Bombyx mori: one gene and its partners. The protein of the gene in region 2 purifies or fractionates together with the protein of the main gene of each other region. This does not show direct contact. Links are inferred from orthologs where the notes say so. Each region holds a gene or a part of one and is shown on either strand. Other genes may lie near its edges.

What was found. The genes of interacting proteins can lie anywhere in the genome.
Region 1: the proteins of protein crooked neck (region 2) and coiled-coil domain containing 12-like protein purify together in Homo sapiens (co-immunoprecipitation; 3 studies listed by BioGRID and IntAct, with this or other methods). This does not show direct contact. The link is inferred for Bombyx mori from reciprocal best matches to the Homo sapiens genes CRNKL1 and CCDC12.
Region 3: the proteins of protein crooked neck (region 2) and peptidyl-prolyl cis-trans isomerase purify together in Homo sapiens (affinity purification with mass spectrometry; 3 studies listed by BioGRID and IntAct, counting the BioPlex papers as one, with this or other methods). This does not show direct contact. The link is inferred for Bombyx mori from reciprocal best matches to the Homo sapiens genes CRNKL1 and PPIE.
Region 4: the proteins of protein crooked neck (region 2) and ATP-dependent RNA helicase DHX8 purify together in Homo sapiens (affinity purification with mass spectrometry; 3 studies listed by BioGRID and IntAct, counting the BioPlex papers as one, with this or other methods). This does not show direct contact. The link is inferred for Bombyx mori from reciprocal best matches to the Homo sapiens genes CRNKL1 and DHX8.

Annotation. Positions count from the first base shown.
Region 1 is NC_085115.1:6,396,698-6,400,758, forward strand, and holds coiled-coil domain containing 12-like protein, read right to left. Parts: upstream 2,801-4,061; 5' UTR 2,645-2,800; coding exon 2,496-2,644; intron 1,963-2,495; coding exon 1,842-1,962; intron 1,189-1,841; coding exon 970-1,188; 3' UTR 234-969; downstream 1-233.
Region 2 is NC_085124.1:5,696,923-5,701,156, forward strand, and holds the start of protein crooked neck, read left to right. Parts: upstream 1-1,434; 5' UTR 1,435-1,597; coding exon 1,598-1,636; intron 1,637-1,709; coding exon 1,710-1,895; intron 1,896-2,240; coding exon 2,241-2,356; intron 2,357-3,246; coding exon 3,247-3,403; intron 3,404-3,497; coding exon 3,498-4,234. UniProt on the Homo sapiens protein: Involved in pre-mRNA splicing process. As a component of the minor spliceosome, involved in the splicing of U12-type introns in pre-mRNAs.
Region 3 is NC_085121.1:14,019,557-14,023,697, reverse strand, and holds the start of peptidyl-prolyl cis-trans isomerase, read right to left. Parts: upstream 2,801-4,141; 5' UTR 2,646-2,800; coding exon 2,436-2,645; intron 981-2,435; coding exon 795-980; intron 1-794. UniProt on the Homo sapiens protein: Involved in pre-mRNA splicing as component of the spliceosome. Combines RNA-binding and PPIase activities.
Region 4 is NC_085116.1:15,847,775-15,851,863, forward strand, and holds the start of ATP-dependent RNA helicase DHX8, read right to left. Parts: upstream 2,801-4,089; 5' UTR 2,676-2,800; coding exon 2,582-2,675; intron 2,318-2,581; coding exon 1,332-2,317; intron 497-1,331; coding exon 335-496; intron 18-334; coding exon 1-17.

The sequences.
Region 1 (4,061 bases), on a different chromosome or scaffold from region 2:
TGTCTAGAACTACTAATGATTTAATTAGAATTAGTTTTATGGCAACTAATTTATTATTATTAACATATAGTAAAAACTGTTAGAAAATTGTTCCGTAAAGTATAAATCTGACTATTACATGTACATACCTATTTAAAAAGTGGTAGGAATAATTTATTATATAAATTAATAGACTAACGAGAGATATCGTTTACATAATTACTAGTATACTGTGATATTAAAATACTTTGAGATTAAATTAACTGTTTTATTAAAATAGATTTAGATATACATACATACATATCACTTGGTGTTTTGTGAAGACAAGAATGGTGGAATAATCCATCATGAGTGGCTCATGGATCCTGTTGAAGTACTGATCATGAATCTGTATTTACAATTAACAAATTAAATTGAATTAATATTGGATCCATATCCATGTTCATTTTTGTTCTCGTTTTTAGCTAAGACAAAGAGACTAATGGCACATGTATAAGTGAGCGTTTACCTAGACCCTTAACAACACAATGTGAAAGCCAGTGCTCTCCTTGAGAAATAAAGATAACTCTTTCATAATCAAAGTACAATAACTAAAATACAAAAAAAAAAGATTTAAAATTTATCTAATTGCATTAGGAGCTCAGAGCTCACTGTAACATGAATTTTGCCATCCACCTTGAGATTGGAGGTCAAAATCAGAATTGTAAGGCTGTTCCACCCTTCAAACCTATTGTTAAGATTATGGGACCCTAAACATATGGATCTTAATTATGCTTCATGAACAATACTTATACAAATTTAATAGGTTTTGAGTTTTTTTTATTACACAACTGACTTTCCACCTACAGGTTTCGCACAATAGCACAGTCATACCCTCGGTATTAATTCACTGGGCATCTTATCTTTTAGGTCACAACTACATTTAATATTTAAATCCACTTTTGCATGCTTTAAGTTTCTTATATAAAATTATTGCGGGACACATAAAATTTAGTCATCATCTGTAATGGTAGGTCGGTTAGCAGTCATTGTAATCATAGCACTTAAATTATCTTCATTTCCATGTTTCAGTCTATCCCAAATCAATTCAGCTATGGCTCTCTGTGTCTTCCGTTCTAATTTCTCTAGCTTCTTGGCCACATCTCGTTTGAGATCCCAGTCTGGTTTTCTTGGTGCTAAACTTGTTATGTCGAGATCCTGGAGCACCACCTAAAGTTTTTTCATATTATTAAATAACAAATACAACTTGTTTTTTTTTTTGTATTGCTTAGATGTGTGGACGAGCTCACCGCCTACCTGGTGCTAAGCGGTTACTGGAGTCCATAGACATCAACGTAAATGCGCCACCCACCTTGAGACATAAGTTCTAAGGACTCAGGTATAGCTGTTATATGTTTCAGATAATTATAAATTTAATAATTTAAATAGATCACAACAAATTGAAATTAACATTTTGAACATTCATCCATGGTTAATCTACGCATAAAATTTGTATGAAAGTATTTTTCATTAAGAGTGTCCATTTCCAAGTACTTATTTAATTATTTTTTTGATTATTTTGAATTTAATTTAGATGACTTAGTTACGGTGACTACAAGATGAAGTCAAGATGGAAAAGCAGTGGCAGCTGTATCATTAAACTAACTTCCTAACTGTATTGTGTAGAAATTTTCAAGAATCATTGAGTTGTCAGTAAAACTGTAACAATTGTTTTAATTATTTTATTACTCCCACATCCAAGGAAAACGTTATTATACAAATATTCTTGGAACTTCCATGAACATCATTTTATTTTTGAAATATTGTTACAATTTTGGGAGCAGTGGTTGTTTACATTATGTAAATATAGCTAATTGTAGTACCTTTTCTTTACCAGCCTCCAACAAATCTTTTACTTCTTCTTCTATCACTGTTGGTTCTGCATCACTAAGTTTGGATTCTTGTAACGCTCCATCTTGAGGCTTGTAACTTCTAAATTTTGGTCTACAATAATGATAGTTGGTTTTAAAAATAAATATCACAAACAAACATTACACAAAAAAAGAATAATAAGGAAAATAAATAGCTACAAAAATTATAGTCTGATTATTGTTTTATTTACCAGCAGCCATTAAATCATGCAAATTATTTAGTGGTATTATTCTTATGCCCACTTTTTATGATTGAAAGATTACTGGTGGCCCGAAGGCCCTTCCAGTTTCACCAGGACAGGTGGCGAACAAAGGCTCAGCCAGGAGGGGTAGGATTTGCTAACAACTGTCTGAGCGCCTTCGAAGGAAACCTAACAACTCAAGAGCAATTGCTTCGCAAATGAATCTACTACCGGATCGGAATCATTCTGGTTCAGTGATTCAAGAAATTTCCCAGTATTTTACGAACGTCTTGGCTAGTTATTAAATCATCAAATACATTAATGCCATAACAAGCTATGAGCGTTCATTTTTTTTTAAATTTAATAATCCTTCACTAGTAAAGTTTTGTTTTTGAATTTACAGATTAAATTGTTTATAACTTACTTGGGCAGTGTCATTGTTTCATTTGTAGTATTATGTGATGTATTATCACTGTTTGTTCGTTTTCTTTTTAGATTCTTCAGTCTTTCTTTTCTTTTGAGAGCTTGCTCTTCTAAGCTACCGACAGATTCTGCACTGTCCATTATTACCATACTCCGCGGTGTTAGTACCTACTTAATTTATACACCCGAAAATAAGACTTTAGATTATTTATGATTTACACAGCAAAATTATAATTCAAATATGTATGCAGCAATCTGAAAATAGTGAAAATGCTTAATTTTTCAAATGTCAATTGTGTTGTCACTGTCAGTCAAAGCAATCAAAGTGATGCACTTTTTCAAAAGGATTTTATGACCTGGTAACTAAGACTTTTAGGTCAAGTCTTATTTTAATTTTAATGAAATCTTTTCTAAATGAAAAATGATATTATGAAATGAAATGAAGTTAATATGAAACATGACATGAAATTAAATCAAATTAAATGAGAGGGAATCATATGGGATGAAATAGAATCTCATTAAAATGGTGGTCATTTACTAAGATTTTTTGAAGGATCTCGAGAAGTTACCTTTTTATTTATTTATTTTTATTGCTTAGATGGATGAACGAGCTCACAGCCCACCTGGTGTTAACTGGTTACTGGAGCCCATAGACATCTATAACGTAAATGCACCATCCACCTCGAGATATAAGTTTTAAGGTCTCAGTACAGCTACAACGGCTAGCCCACCCTTCGGACCGAAACGCATTACTGCTTCACGGCGGAAATAGGCGGGGTGGTGGTACCTACCCGTGCGGACTCACAAGAGGTCCTACCACCAGTGATTACGCAAATTATAATTTTGCGGGTTTGATTTTTATTACACGGTGTTATTCCTTCACTGTGGAAGTCAATCGTGAACATTTGTTGAGTACGTATTTCATTAGAAAAATTGGTACCCGCCTGCGGGATTTGAACACCGGTGCATCGCTACATACGAATGCACCGGACGTCTTATCGACAACTTCAAAACGTTCAGCGGCTTTGTTTCATTTTCCCACATTTTTGCACTATCGCAGATACTAAGCAGTTAATAAACCGCCGTTATTACACATTTAAACCTGAAGAAACACCTAAGCCTTTTCCAATTACAGCACAAGAGCATAATGCGACTCAGTGACGCACAATGCCGAATTATGCTGAAGCTAAGTTGAGCATTATGCCGCATAATGCGCCCTTGTGCTCTAATTAGAAAACGGCCATTAATAACGACGTAGTAAATTACGTTATAACATAAGAGAATTTGTGTTAAAGATATGAGCAACTACCTATTAGAATCCACTATAAAATCGTTAAAATAATACAAATATTCGTTTACATATTCATTTTAATTTATTCTTAATACATACATATTTTCAATAACACGATGTGACAATTTTTAATAGTAAGTACAGTACAATAGGTATATTTACATAATTTCTTACATTTCTATGAATCTAAACAAAGGTATGAATGAATTAAAAAAATGGCTTGTAAATGTATGAAATATGTAGCATAAAATCAAAAATTAAGTATTCAGATCTACA
Region 2 (4,234 bases):
TCTTATTAAATACGTTACATTTGTTCCATTTCATTCTTCGTACAATATTTTCAGCCTTAGTTACAAAATATTTGCTGTATGGCCTAGTTACTTTTGTCTGTCCAATAAACGAACTAAACATTCTCTGTGGTTCGATGGCTTAGTTTACATATTACGTGTATTATCTGTGCTATTTATCATAGATACCTACCTACTTGGCTTAAAAAACTTTGTTTCGAAGCCACTAGAAATTTATAAAAAAAAATCTACCTACTACCTACATATCACTACTAAAGATGGGTTAATACCGATATTTGTCAATATTAGCGAATACGAATATATTCATGATGTAATATTATAATAACTTAACTAATGCGTGAATATATCCTGATATCTTAATATACTTCGATAAAACGGGTAAACGAGTTAACCGAGTACGGTATTCGTGAAATAAGTTAATAATCATAGATAATACACATAAATTAGTTATTAAATTAATATAAATAGTATACTGTATCTAGGAATTTGATTTCATACTAAATATTTTACAAGTAATATTATGTACATTAATATGAATATTATTATTAAACCAGAATTTGGTCAACATTGTACATTAATATAAACAACAAGTTAGTAATATTATTTATTTCTTATTGGTGCATAAAAACATCAGCTTTTTTACTTTTTCTACCGAATGACCGGTACGTCGCTCAGAAATGAGTATTCCAGATTTCGAAAAAATCCTCTGATACGGTACTGAGGTGGCTAGTAGGTACACAACAGTTATATTAATAGTATAATCCATGAACCGTTTGGTTAGAAAGTCATTTCGATTCAAAAATCAAACTTTTATTTATAGTTTGAGAAGTTCTTAGAAGATAATTAACTACTACCACAAAAATATATTGTCATCATAATTTATTACATATAAACATTTAATGAAAATAAAGCTCACCGATTTTATTCCAATAAATGTGGAAATGCACTATTTTGTCTTGAGTCGAATCTTTAGTACAAACATAAAAAGTAATGCATTTAAAAATTCCCACTGGCATCTTTGACATGTAAAAAGTGCAATACAAAATAGTCCTTAAACTCATAGCGAAATATAGTTATTTTCATTGCTCAGTATATAAACATGTAGATTATCTCACTTACTCTTAGCGCATGCAGTGCATTGATATGAATGTGATAAACAGATATCCGCGAGACACGTACGGCGTATGTCAGTATATTTTCGTGTGATAGATATTTCGCTAGGAGTAACAGTGTTCTGTGGATAGATACAACCCGACTGATGTGAGCTGGCTATTATTATGAATAAGTGAATACGGAATATTAGCATATCAGAATTCGACGGATTACCGATAGACGAATACAAGCTGTATTACGAATATCTTAGTGAATGCTAATATATCGGTATCACCCTTAACCACTACCTACCGTATTCACTTCTCTTAAAAATGTGTATAATCTATGCTTCTCATTTTGACAATAAATAAAAAAAAAACCTGAAGATTTCCTTTCCTGTACTTAGCTGTTTATTGTATGTAATCAAATTAAATTTAGGTTAAACTGAACTAAAAAATTATAAACTGTGCAGAACGTAGAACTTAACATGGACAGCAAGACAACAAAAATGCCGAAAGTGGCAAAGGTACGAAAAAAGTGTTTGATGGTATTGTTGAATAATATTACTCCAATTTTAACATGGATCTCACGATTTTTAGGTGAAGAATAAAGCACCAGCAGAAATCCAAATAACAGCTGAACAATTACTTAGGGAAGCCAAAGAACGAGACCTTGAGATATTACCACCGCCACCTAAACAGAAAATATCTGATCCTGAGGAACTTCGAGACTACCAACATCGTAAACGTAAAGCATTTGAGGACAACATAAGAAAGAACAGACTTGTAAGTAAATTCAATTTATTAGTCGCTTACAATGTATAAATGACTGTTTTTCCTATTAATGTAATTGTTTCTCAGTTTTAAGACCATCCAATGCTTAGTTTTACTAGCTGATAGAGTTCACCAAATTAATTTCATTAATTGATTTCGTGCCATTACGATCCTTTGAACAATATAGGTTTCATGCTGTTTCCACAATAAGAAGGGTACTAAACAATTTCTACTCAGAGCATTACTGACGAAAACCAGATGAGGATACTTTTATTTAGTAGTATTTCTTCAAGAAAACAACAAATAATATAATAATATCGAATTTTAGTTTAATGGATGCTTTGTTTTTGTTTTCAGGTTATTGGGAACTGGCTTAAATATGCACAATGGGAAGAATCACAAAAGCAAATCCAAAGAGCTCGTTCAATATATGAGCGTGCTTTGGATGTGGATCACAGAAATGTTACCTTATGGTGAGAGCTATCATTACAATTAACAATTTTATTTGAAAAATTATTAACTTATGTGCTCTTGGTACTGCCAGTGTTTAAACCATATGACTATTTTAAAAAATGTTTGAGAAATCTGTGGTGTTAATTTTTTTTTGCATTCTTGGCTCATCTGATAGTAATTGTTAGTCACACTACTGAGTACTCTTTGTAAGCCTCATTTGAACAAGGACATATTGTTGGATCACTCAAGACATGGGCTTTAGAACAAAATTCATGTCACAGTGAAGAAAAAAATTAATTCTTAAAGAGTTACCATACAAAGATCAGCTTATAATAGAACATATAAAAAAGATTCCTATGTCACTCTGTTCACATTACAATTTTATTTGGTTAGTAAACTTGTAGACAATTGTGGACGAAATGTTAAGATGTTTGATATACTTGTAATGACCAATACAACTATACTAGAGTTCATAGCCTTTGTGCTACCTAAAGCCCAATATATTTAAGGAAATACATACCCGATATGAAGAAATTTCATAAGTAAATAAGAACAAAGTGTCATTACAAAATTGATACTCTATTAATGTATTGTGAACTGGCATGTAATATATCATCCTGCCTATTTCAACAGTTATGCATTTGGTTTGAATTGTCCAACAGTTGTTTTATAAAGGAATTGAGACTTCAATCTCAAATTGATGCCTATTTAGTCCAAGAGCCACTTATTTAACAAATAAAACAATCTGTACTTTGAAAAATCTGTAAAAGTCATGGACTTTCTTGGTAAATTTCTTACAGTTTTAACTGTTAAATTTGCGTCACTCTTCAATTATCCACACTACCTTAACTACCTGTACTTTAGGCTGTTATACCACACCAAAATATTCTCAGCGTATCATGGGTTTTAGGCTGAAGTATACTGAAATGGAAATGAGGAACAGACAGGTAAACCATGCCCGTAATCTATGGGACAGAGCTGTTACAATTCTGCCAAGAGTATCTCAGTTTTGGTACAAATATACTTACATGGAGGAAATGTTGGAAAATGTAGCTGGAGCAAGACAGGTGATATTTTTTATACATGTACAATTTCTCGTATAATGATAATAGTCACTGACTGTAACTGAAACAAGGTTTCTAATTTACTTTTGTTTCACAGGTATTTGAACGTTGGATGGAATGGCATCCAGATGAGCAAGCTTGGCAAACATACATAAACTTTGAATTGAGGTACAAAGAACTTGAACGGGCTAGACAAATCTATGAACAGTTTGTTATGGTGCATCCAGATGTAAAGAATTGGATAAAATATGCAAAATTTGAAGAAAACCATGGTTTCATAAATGGCTCTAGGACAGTTTTTGAGAGAGCTGTTGAATTCTTTGGTGATGAAGAATTAGATGAAAGACTGTTTATAGCGTTTGCCAAATTTGAAGAAAATCAAAAAGAACATGACAGAGCAAGAGTGATTTACAAATATGCTCTGGATCATGTCCCAAAAGACAGAAATAAAGAACTTTATAAAGCTTATACTATTCATGAAAAGAAGTATGGTGATAGATCTGGCATTGAGGATGTAATAGTAAATAAGAGAAAGTATATGTATGAACAGGAAGTTATAGAGAATCCCACAAATTATGATGCATGGTTTGATTATATTAGATTAGTGGAGAATGAGGGTAATTTAGATGACATAAGAGACACATATGAGAGAGCAATTGCAAATATCCCTCCTTCAAAGGACAAACAATTTTGGAGGCGTTATATTTACTTGTGGATTAATTACGCTTTATATGAAGAGTTAGAAGCAGAAGATTTAGATCGAACAAGACAAGTTTACAGAACCTGTTTAGAATTAATTCCTCATAAGATATTTACTTTCTCAAAAATATGGCT
Region 3 (4,141 bases), on a different chromosome or scaffold from region 2:
TTGAGGCATGTGACTAGGAGATCTATGGAAATAGTATGAAAAAGGTAGAGGAGGAAGAGGTCGACCGAAGAAGACATGGTTGGAATGTGTGAACGACGATATGATATGAGAGAGACGAGTGAGTGTTGAGATGATGGCTAATAGAAGAGAATGGAAGAGAAAAATTAGCTGTGCCGACCCCACCTAGTTTTTTTTTTATTTCTTAGATATGTGGACGAGCTCAAGCCCACCTGGGTAAAGTGTGTAGTGGGATAAGGTGGAGAAAAAGATGAAGAAGAGAAGAATTTCAATGTAAATTTACACACTTTGTTTTAGTATATTCATAACATCACTTGAAAACAATTTAATGTATGTGCTAACTCAATAAACTCTTGACTGGAAAACTGGACACAATACGAAGACATGGAGAGTATCATAGAACAAAAAATTACCATCATAATTTCACTTCCTTTGAGGTGAAGTTAGAAAAGTCGATATTTAAATAAAATTCAGACTTGTAATTAACGTCTGAAGGTAGCATTCGCTCTGTAACTGACATAATACCAAATTACAAGCCAAACGTTTGACAGAGTTTATGTTATCTCAAGAATATGACTAATGCTAGTGACAAAGTTATCAAACCCCTTACCCAGAGTCTTTATACATTTACTTTAAACGCTTTAGTCCTTATATTATGCATCCTTAAAATCAATCATCTTTATCAATGTTTTGGATAATATTTATTATCCTTTCACATGTTATGTCCGAATCATAACCATCTTATTTCTTAATTTGATGTACTTTAGATTACTTACACTAGTAGTTTCGGTTTTGTCTTTCGTTTCAGTTTCTTCACCATCTTTGTTCAGTTGAAGAGTTTCCCCAGCATGTTTCTGCAGCCATGAGTCATCCGACCAGACAGGTCGTGTGGAGCCTTCTTTAATGCGTTGCGGAGCTGCTATGTTCACTCGTATTGTTCTACCAAATAGTTCTGAATCATTCTAGAAATAAATAGTTAGATTACAAGTTAAAATGAGAAAATATTACTAAGCATGTTTAAATTTTTTTAATTATGCATTCCACAATATGTCTATATTTCTAGGGTCATCTATGTCTCTATGGATGTCATTTTCTAGTAGATTAATAATTTCAAACCTATTTTATAAAAGCTTATTTACTGTGTATATAACTTTTTTCTATTACAATATCCTACACTTTAGTTATGAATGGCAGTTTGATAATGTATTAAGCTAATATTATATTAAACATTTTAGTGTTAGTCAATTAAATAAATTATTAAAATAATCAAAATCTCCTTTAATCCGGAATTTAAAAAAAAAAACCTTTGAAACATGACGTGTATAAATATATGTGAAACAATATTTTATTTACTGTAATAATATGTATTACAAATATAATTATAATATCAGTAAAAAGTATTTTCCAATGATGAGGTTTAAATTACACACAAATAATTTTAATTCTCCCTTCAATACCTTATATTGAGGGGTGAAAGGCTATTTGTTTTAAGTGACATATTTTTTTATTGCCGTATAGGCAGACAAGCATACAGCCCACTTGATGGTGAGTGGTTACCGTCGCTCATGGACGTCAGCAATGCCAGGGGAAGAGCCAAGCCGCTGCCTACAAACATTCGGACATATTGACATTTTTGGAACTTAAAGGCCATTTAAAGTTTAAAATTTGGAAAAAATACCATAACAAATAAACTTCTTTAGCTTTTTTAATGGAATAAACTCAATTAAAGAGCAATTAAAACCATCAAACTGTTCTTGCTAATACCAAATAAAACACACCTTTAATTATGAAGATGAAGTTGTGTATTAAGGAAAATGTTGCTTATACCAAATAGCATTTCACTCTTCAATATAGATTCCTTTAGCTATGGTAGGTTTTGCTTGTGATAAGTATGTACAAACTCATGTCACCAGGTTTATGTAATTACAAGACAACAGCCATCAGAATGTGAATGCTGCCACCCACCTTGAGACATAAGGTTGTAGTTTCAATTGTGGTTATTCCACTGGTGATGGCTACTGTGCCAATCAGAAATCATAAATAAACATGTTGGTGGCACCTACCCCTTGGGCTTACAATATACCCTACCATCTGTAATAAAAACTCGGGGACTTCCGAGTTATAACAACAATAATAACACTTCTTCACCTCTTACTATATTCACAATGGACATTTAAGACCGAAAAAATGTAAGAATTTAAAATGTCAGATATTATTGTATAAGTAATAAATATAGACTTATATATCTTATTTGTCCAAAAATAATTCCTGAATGTAATTTCACATTCTTTAACGATAAACAAAGATGTGTACCCTTCGTTTGTACCAAAATGAGTATTTTGTATCATACCTATGGACTAGAACTGAAAGAATCCATGTCCAGCATCTGCCATGTATTTCACTGTAAAAGTACTGACCATGTTATCAATCGCTGCGGCAGCATCCTCAGCGTTTTCGAACTCTATGAAAGCGAAGCCCCGATGCTTCTCAGTCTCATAATCCAAAGGTATTTGAACATCAACCAAATCCCCGAAAGGGATGAAAGCAGCGTTTAAAACTTTCTCGTCGACCTCCTCAGCTAGCCCTCCAACGTATATTGTCCGCTTAGAATTAGGCTTACTCGACATTTTCACGTGTGTTTATATTAAATTATTCGAAATTTAAATGAAATTTAGGTACATAGCTAACTATTTGTGTGATAGCGCCGATAGCGGTTTGTTTATATCAAACATAACCTCAAAGAGAATGACAATTCAAAAAGTCAAATGTCATTTTGTCAAAGGAATTCATAGACCTATAGGTTTCCTACTTCATTGAAGGAATTAAAATAAACAACATAAGTAATCACTTAATATCTTTGGATTCAATGATTTTCAAATAAACAGTTGATTTTTACGTAATTTAAGGTAAGCTCAGAGTAGCAAATTACACAAACGATAAATATCTCATTCTCAGTTTCAAGTATGATAAAATATTTTCCTATTCGATAGTGAGATATGTAACAAAATAGTTTTCTAGTTGTTTTTTGATTTAATCTAACTAGTCACGAATTAATTTATTGGGAATATCGGCATTTCTCCTTTTTAAACAGGAATTTAAGATTGCTCTATAGCAAAAATAGATAGAAGAGTTCGCCATTGGCGCCGTCTTGCAATCTTTGTATCTGCCACCAGTATATACCAAACAAAAGCAGATAAGAAATTAAACGTGAGGTAGAAACGAAATCCGTTCTTAAAGACGGATGAATAATAAAAAAGTAAAATGGAAGGGAGCTGAAGGGGGCTGGTATACTTACTGGTTAATATAATTTCAACTAGGTATACAGTATAATTACAACTAAATAATCATTACATTACCTTACCAAAAGCCCTGTAATATTTTATAGCAAAAGGAAAAGCAGTGGAAACCGTTAAGGTTATCATTAGGAAAGAGTTATACTATGCGATTCTGACCTACTCAAACTCAAAATTAAATATCTCTTCGGCAGCTCGTTTCTTTTTTAAATACTGTGTTGGATAACAAAGGAACCAAACACCGGAGTGTAATGAAAAAAATGTATTTTGTATTAGTAATACATGTGAATGAAATTGAACGAAATATATGTAATGAAACGATAAGATGGACCGCAAAGTTTTTCAAAAAACTGTCAAATCTGACGGTTTTGACAGATATAGTCTAGTCCTTTAAGGTACTCAAAATAATCTACAGTTAATAAGTATTACACTTCTTATGAAAACAATCTACGAAGGTAATGGACGAATTCTTAAATGCCTCTAGAATTTTCATCTCTTCTTCAAACCTTATCCACCTAATGCTGAGTATAGGTCTCTTCAAATACACTCCATTATTCTAGGTCTCTTGCCTATCGCATCCAGTCCAGACTAATAATAATCCAGAATGTCCATCAAGAACGACCAGCTATTGAAGGGGTGGTGGCCTGCGGATTATGACGCCCGGTGCATTCGGATCGAGCGCTGCGTCCAAGCCAGTAAAACTGTAAGAGCCTATAATAAAAATCAAACCTGCGAAAATTATATAATGCGTAATTACTAATGGTAGGGTGACTTATACGCCCACAAGAGTAGGTAGCAACACTCTGATTTTTACTGCCGTGAAGCAGTAA
Region 4 (4,089 bases), on a different chromosome or scaffold from region 2:
ATTGAGATTACTTTGACCTGTAAATGTGAAATTTTTGTTTCTGTATATATGTAAATTAATTACTATAGTTATCTATGATTAGATTGAGTTCATCTCTTAACTTCCTTTCTTTTGTCTCTTTCTTCTCCCTCAATCTTTCAATTTCTTTAGCATTTTCCTTTTCAATTACGTTCTATGATAATAACACTGACCAAAAGGAGTTAAAAATAAAAATTGGACAGTGGGTATCTTACTGAGTATTTTGTATCTGAGTATATTGAGTACTGGTATTTTGCTTCAAGTTATTCCAATACTCTCTTATAAGTGCTCAATTAAAACTTAAATACTAATTTACCTTAACTTTATCACCTCTATTGACAACATCAGATACATTGGTGACACGACCCTCAGCTCGCAGCTGTGAGATATGCACCAATCCTTCCCACCTTTTTCTGACTCCTTCAATTTGAACAAAACAGCCGAATGGTACAATGTTTGCAACGCGGCCACTGTATATCTGTAAATCAATAAAGGAACTGATATATGTACATGGTAACAGTGTAATTCTCAAATGTTTAGTTGTATTGGTAGGCTGAATAACTTTGTGCCTACTCTTGCTTACATTGATCCATAATGTAGTGAAATAAGAATTACGTTGGATCAACATATCATACTCTTTAGGCCAAAGCTTTCGATTACTTTTCTAATTACAATCTCTAAGGCTTTTCAGTTCACCAAAAACTTAGAGACAAGTTGTTTAAAATAGGACTAAGTATTTTTAATATCAACGTTGTAAAATCATAATTTCAACAGTAGAAGAATTATTATTTCTAAAAAATAATTTATCTACCAAGCCATAAATTAAAACAGTATTCCAAGTTAATTCACACTTTGCTTAATGATAAATCCTTTATGAAAATATTTTAATTTGTATATCCAAAAAAAACAATCATTTTTAAAGTTGCAATAATATGTTAATGACAACGGGAGGAAGTATTGGTTCCAATGTCATAATTTATTCACATGGTGAGTATTTATTTTTTTATCATTGTCTAAAAGTATATTGAATAATTTATACTATAGAGATATTTTTAAAAAGGTTAAAAAACAGGGCAGTGGCACAGCCACAATGGGGGCAAGGCTCACAAAATTGAGTGTGATAAAATAAGAAAACGGTTACATATTAAAAGACAGTGTGAGTATGCCAAATAATAAGTGCAAATAATATGCGCTAATTTCATAAAATATATTACCAGGAGCAAAAGTTGCACTATCTTCCCTAAAAGTAGAGAGTCAAACTGAACTAGTGTGATAAAAATTATGCAATAATTGAGACATTTAAAGGAGCTTACTTTTCCTGGTTCAGGATCATCGTTCAATTCTACTTCAGGGCTGCGTTTTCTGCTTTTCTTGCCATAATCAAATTTTTCTTCTCTATTTCTTGAACGAGATCTTCTGCCACCTGATACTGATCTTCTACTTTTCGAGTAAGATCTACGCCTGTCCCTAGACCTGGATCTGTGACGATGTCGACTGTGTGATCTTCTTCTACGGTCTCTGTCTTGACTTTTGCTTCTCCTATCCCGGCTACGACTTCTCTTACCTTTACTTCTACTTCTTTTACGTTCCCTACTTCTACTTCTTTTATAATCTCTACTCCTACTTCTTCTACGATCTCGGCTCCTACTTCTTTTTCTATCTCGGCTCCTACTTCTTTTACGATCTCGACTTCTACTATGCCTTTTTCTATCTCGAGATTCTTCTAGTTTATATTTATCTGTGTTCTGTGTACTTCTGCTTCTTTTACGTTCCCTACTTCTGCTTCTTTTAGGATTTCGACTCCTACTCTCTTTATCTCTAGATTCTTCTGATTTATTCTTTTCTTTGTGATCACTATTTCTACTACTCTCAATTTTTAGGGGTTCTTTTCCTATAAGAAGTTCATTTGTTGTAGAATTGGAAGGTGCTAAAGCTTCCAATTCAGCCATCGCCAAATCAACAACATTATCAGTAGAACTTGGTTTAATTTCTTCTGTAAATAAGTCTTTGGCTGTTATTCTCTTTTTGTCTTTTTCATCATCACTACTTTCATCAGAAAAAGATTGAGGTTTATCATTTGGTATGGCCAAGCCAGGAAACTTTTTTGCCAAAGGATTTTCACTTTCAGTTTCGGCAATATTTTTAATCAATGTTGATGTATTCACAGGTTTCATGTGCTGTATTATACGGAGTAGATTTGTCATGAAGGAATCAGAAAATTCAGCCCCATTTTCAACCAATGCTACTTTAAAAGTTTCAAATGTTGGATTCTTATCAGCCAAATCTATGATGAATTCCGCTGCAACAAATATAGTAATTTAAAATTCCAGACACAATTTTGTATGAAAAAATTAGAGATGTTAAAACACAAGAACCTCGAAGTATGGTAAAAGGATCTCTTTGTTTCTGACTAGCTCCAATTAACCTGATTAAAAAATGCTCGTTTTAATCTATCGTATCGGTTAACATAATTATTGCTTGGTATAAGCAACGCTGTATTTATTCTATGACATCGTTCTTTTATCATGTAATTTAATGATCAAAACAAAAGTAGTCTACTCACCTAAATCCTTGTCGTTCAAACCTAAATGGTTGTCTAGCTCGGTGCATATTTTAGACACGAGCGAAAGATGCTCTAATTTAGTGACTTCGTCCATTTTAAGTATTAGCTTCACTTTAAAACCATCAAATCTAACAAATTCTAACGTATGAACAAAGTCACACAAAACTCACATTTTTAGGCTATTTTGACTTTACTGTTTAACGAAGACTGTCACCTGTCAAAAACAAAGTGGTAGTTCCACTTTTCCAACTAAAAAGGCAAAAGTATCATACCATACAGCCTAATATGCTATTTTTTTTTTATGACAAAAAATAGTTATGACATGAAATGAAATGAAATTAATTCATTTGGAACATTAATAAATTGACCTAAAATTAAATGAAATGAGATGAGATGATATGGGATGAAATATAATTTCAGTAAAATTGTGGTTATTTACTGAAACTTTTTCAGTAAACTTTTTAGACGATCCCGAGAAGCAACGTCCAGCAGCTTTATTTCATTTTCCCACATTGGTGCACTTTCACAGATATTAAATTATTAATAAACCACCGTTATTGTTAAGTTACACATTTAATCCTGAATAAACACTAAATAGAAAAATAAAAAAATAAAAAAACTTCGTTCCTCGTATACCCTGTCAGAAACAAAATAACACACAGCAACACACTCTTAACTCATATTTTAATATACGTACGAACCATAGAAAATGATTCGGATAGAGCCTGCTACTGATGTTTCGAAGTGCCATTTGGCGTTCTTAAAATCTGATGCGATTTCAATACTAAAACGTATCACTACAGAGCTTCTTGATTTAGAAAGAATGGGGTATTTTATTACCGTAGCACCTCTGATTGATATATTTTTAATTAATTAAAATCACTAAGCACATATTATAATTAGTTGAGTAAAAACAATTACCTTCAGCGTGAATAAACTTAGTAGAATTTTAAAACTTTCGTAGAGTCGGGCCTAAAATTTATGCAGAATATAATGATAGGTAAGTAGTTTAAAAAATTTCTATTTTCTTAGTCGATTCCAAAATCTTGGCAGAAATAGGAGAAGATAACTTGTCTGAGTTGTGCTATTTTCTTAATCCAGTGTTTCTACAAGTTTAATAAATAGCAACGGTTTCGTATTCGTGAAAGTGGATAAGATTAAGAAAATGGAACCAAGTTGTTGAACTTGGTTTTTCAAGCGTTTCTAAAAAGTTAAGTGACGAGTAAACTCTCACTATTGTTCAGACTGATTAATTTATTTCGTCCCATAAAACACCGATGGTCATATAATTTCATTCAAATTCATTTTATTTCAAACATTTTTTTCATTTTATTTTACTTTTCTTTAACAGACATTACTACAGCCTTTGTAAAAAAAAGATGTGTGGTGTCGTGGGACACCGGATAGGAACGAAGTTCCTTATTATAAAAATATTAATTTCAAGTTCTATTCGAGGTCTAAAGAAAATAATTATTCAGGTATACATTTTTATTATTTTATTTTTTATT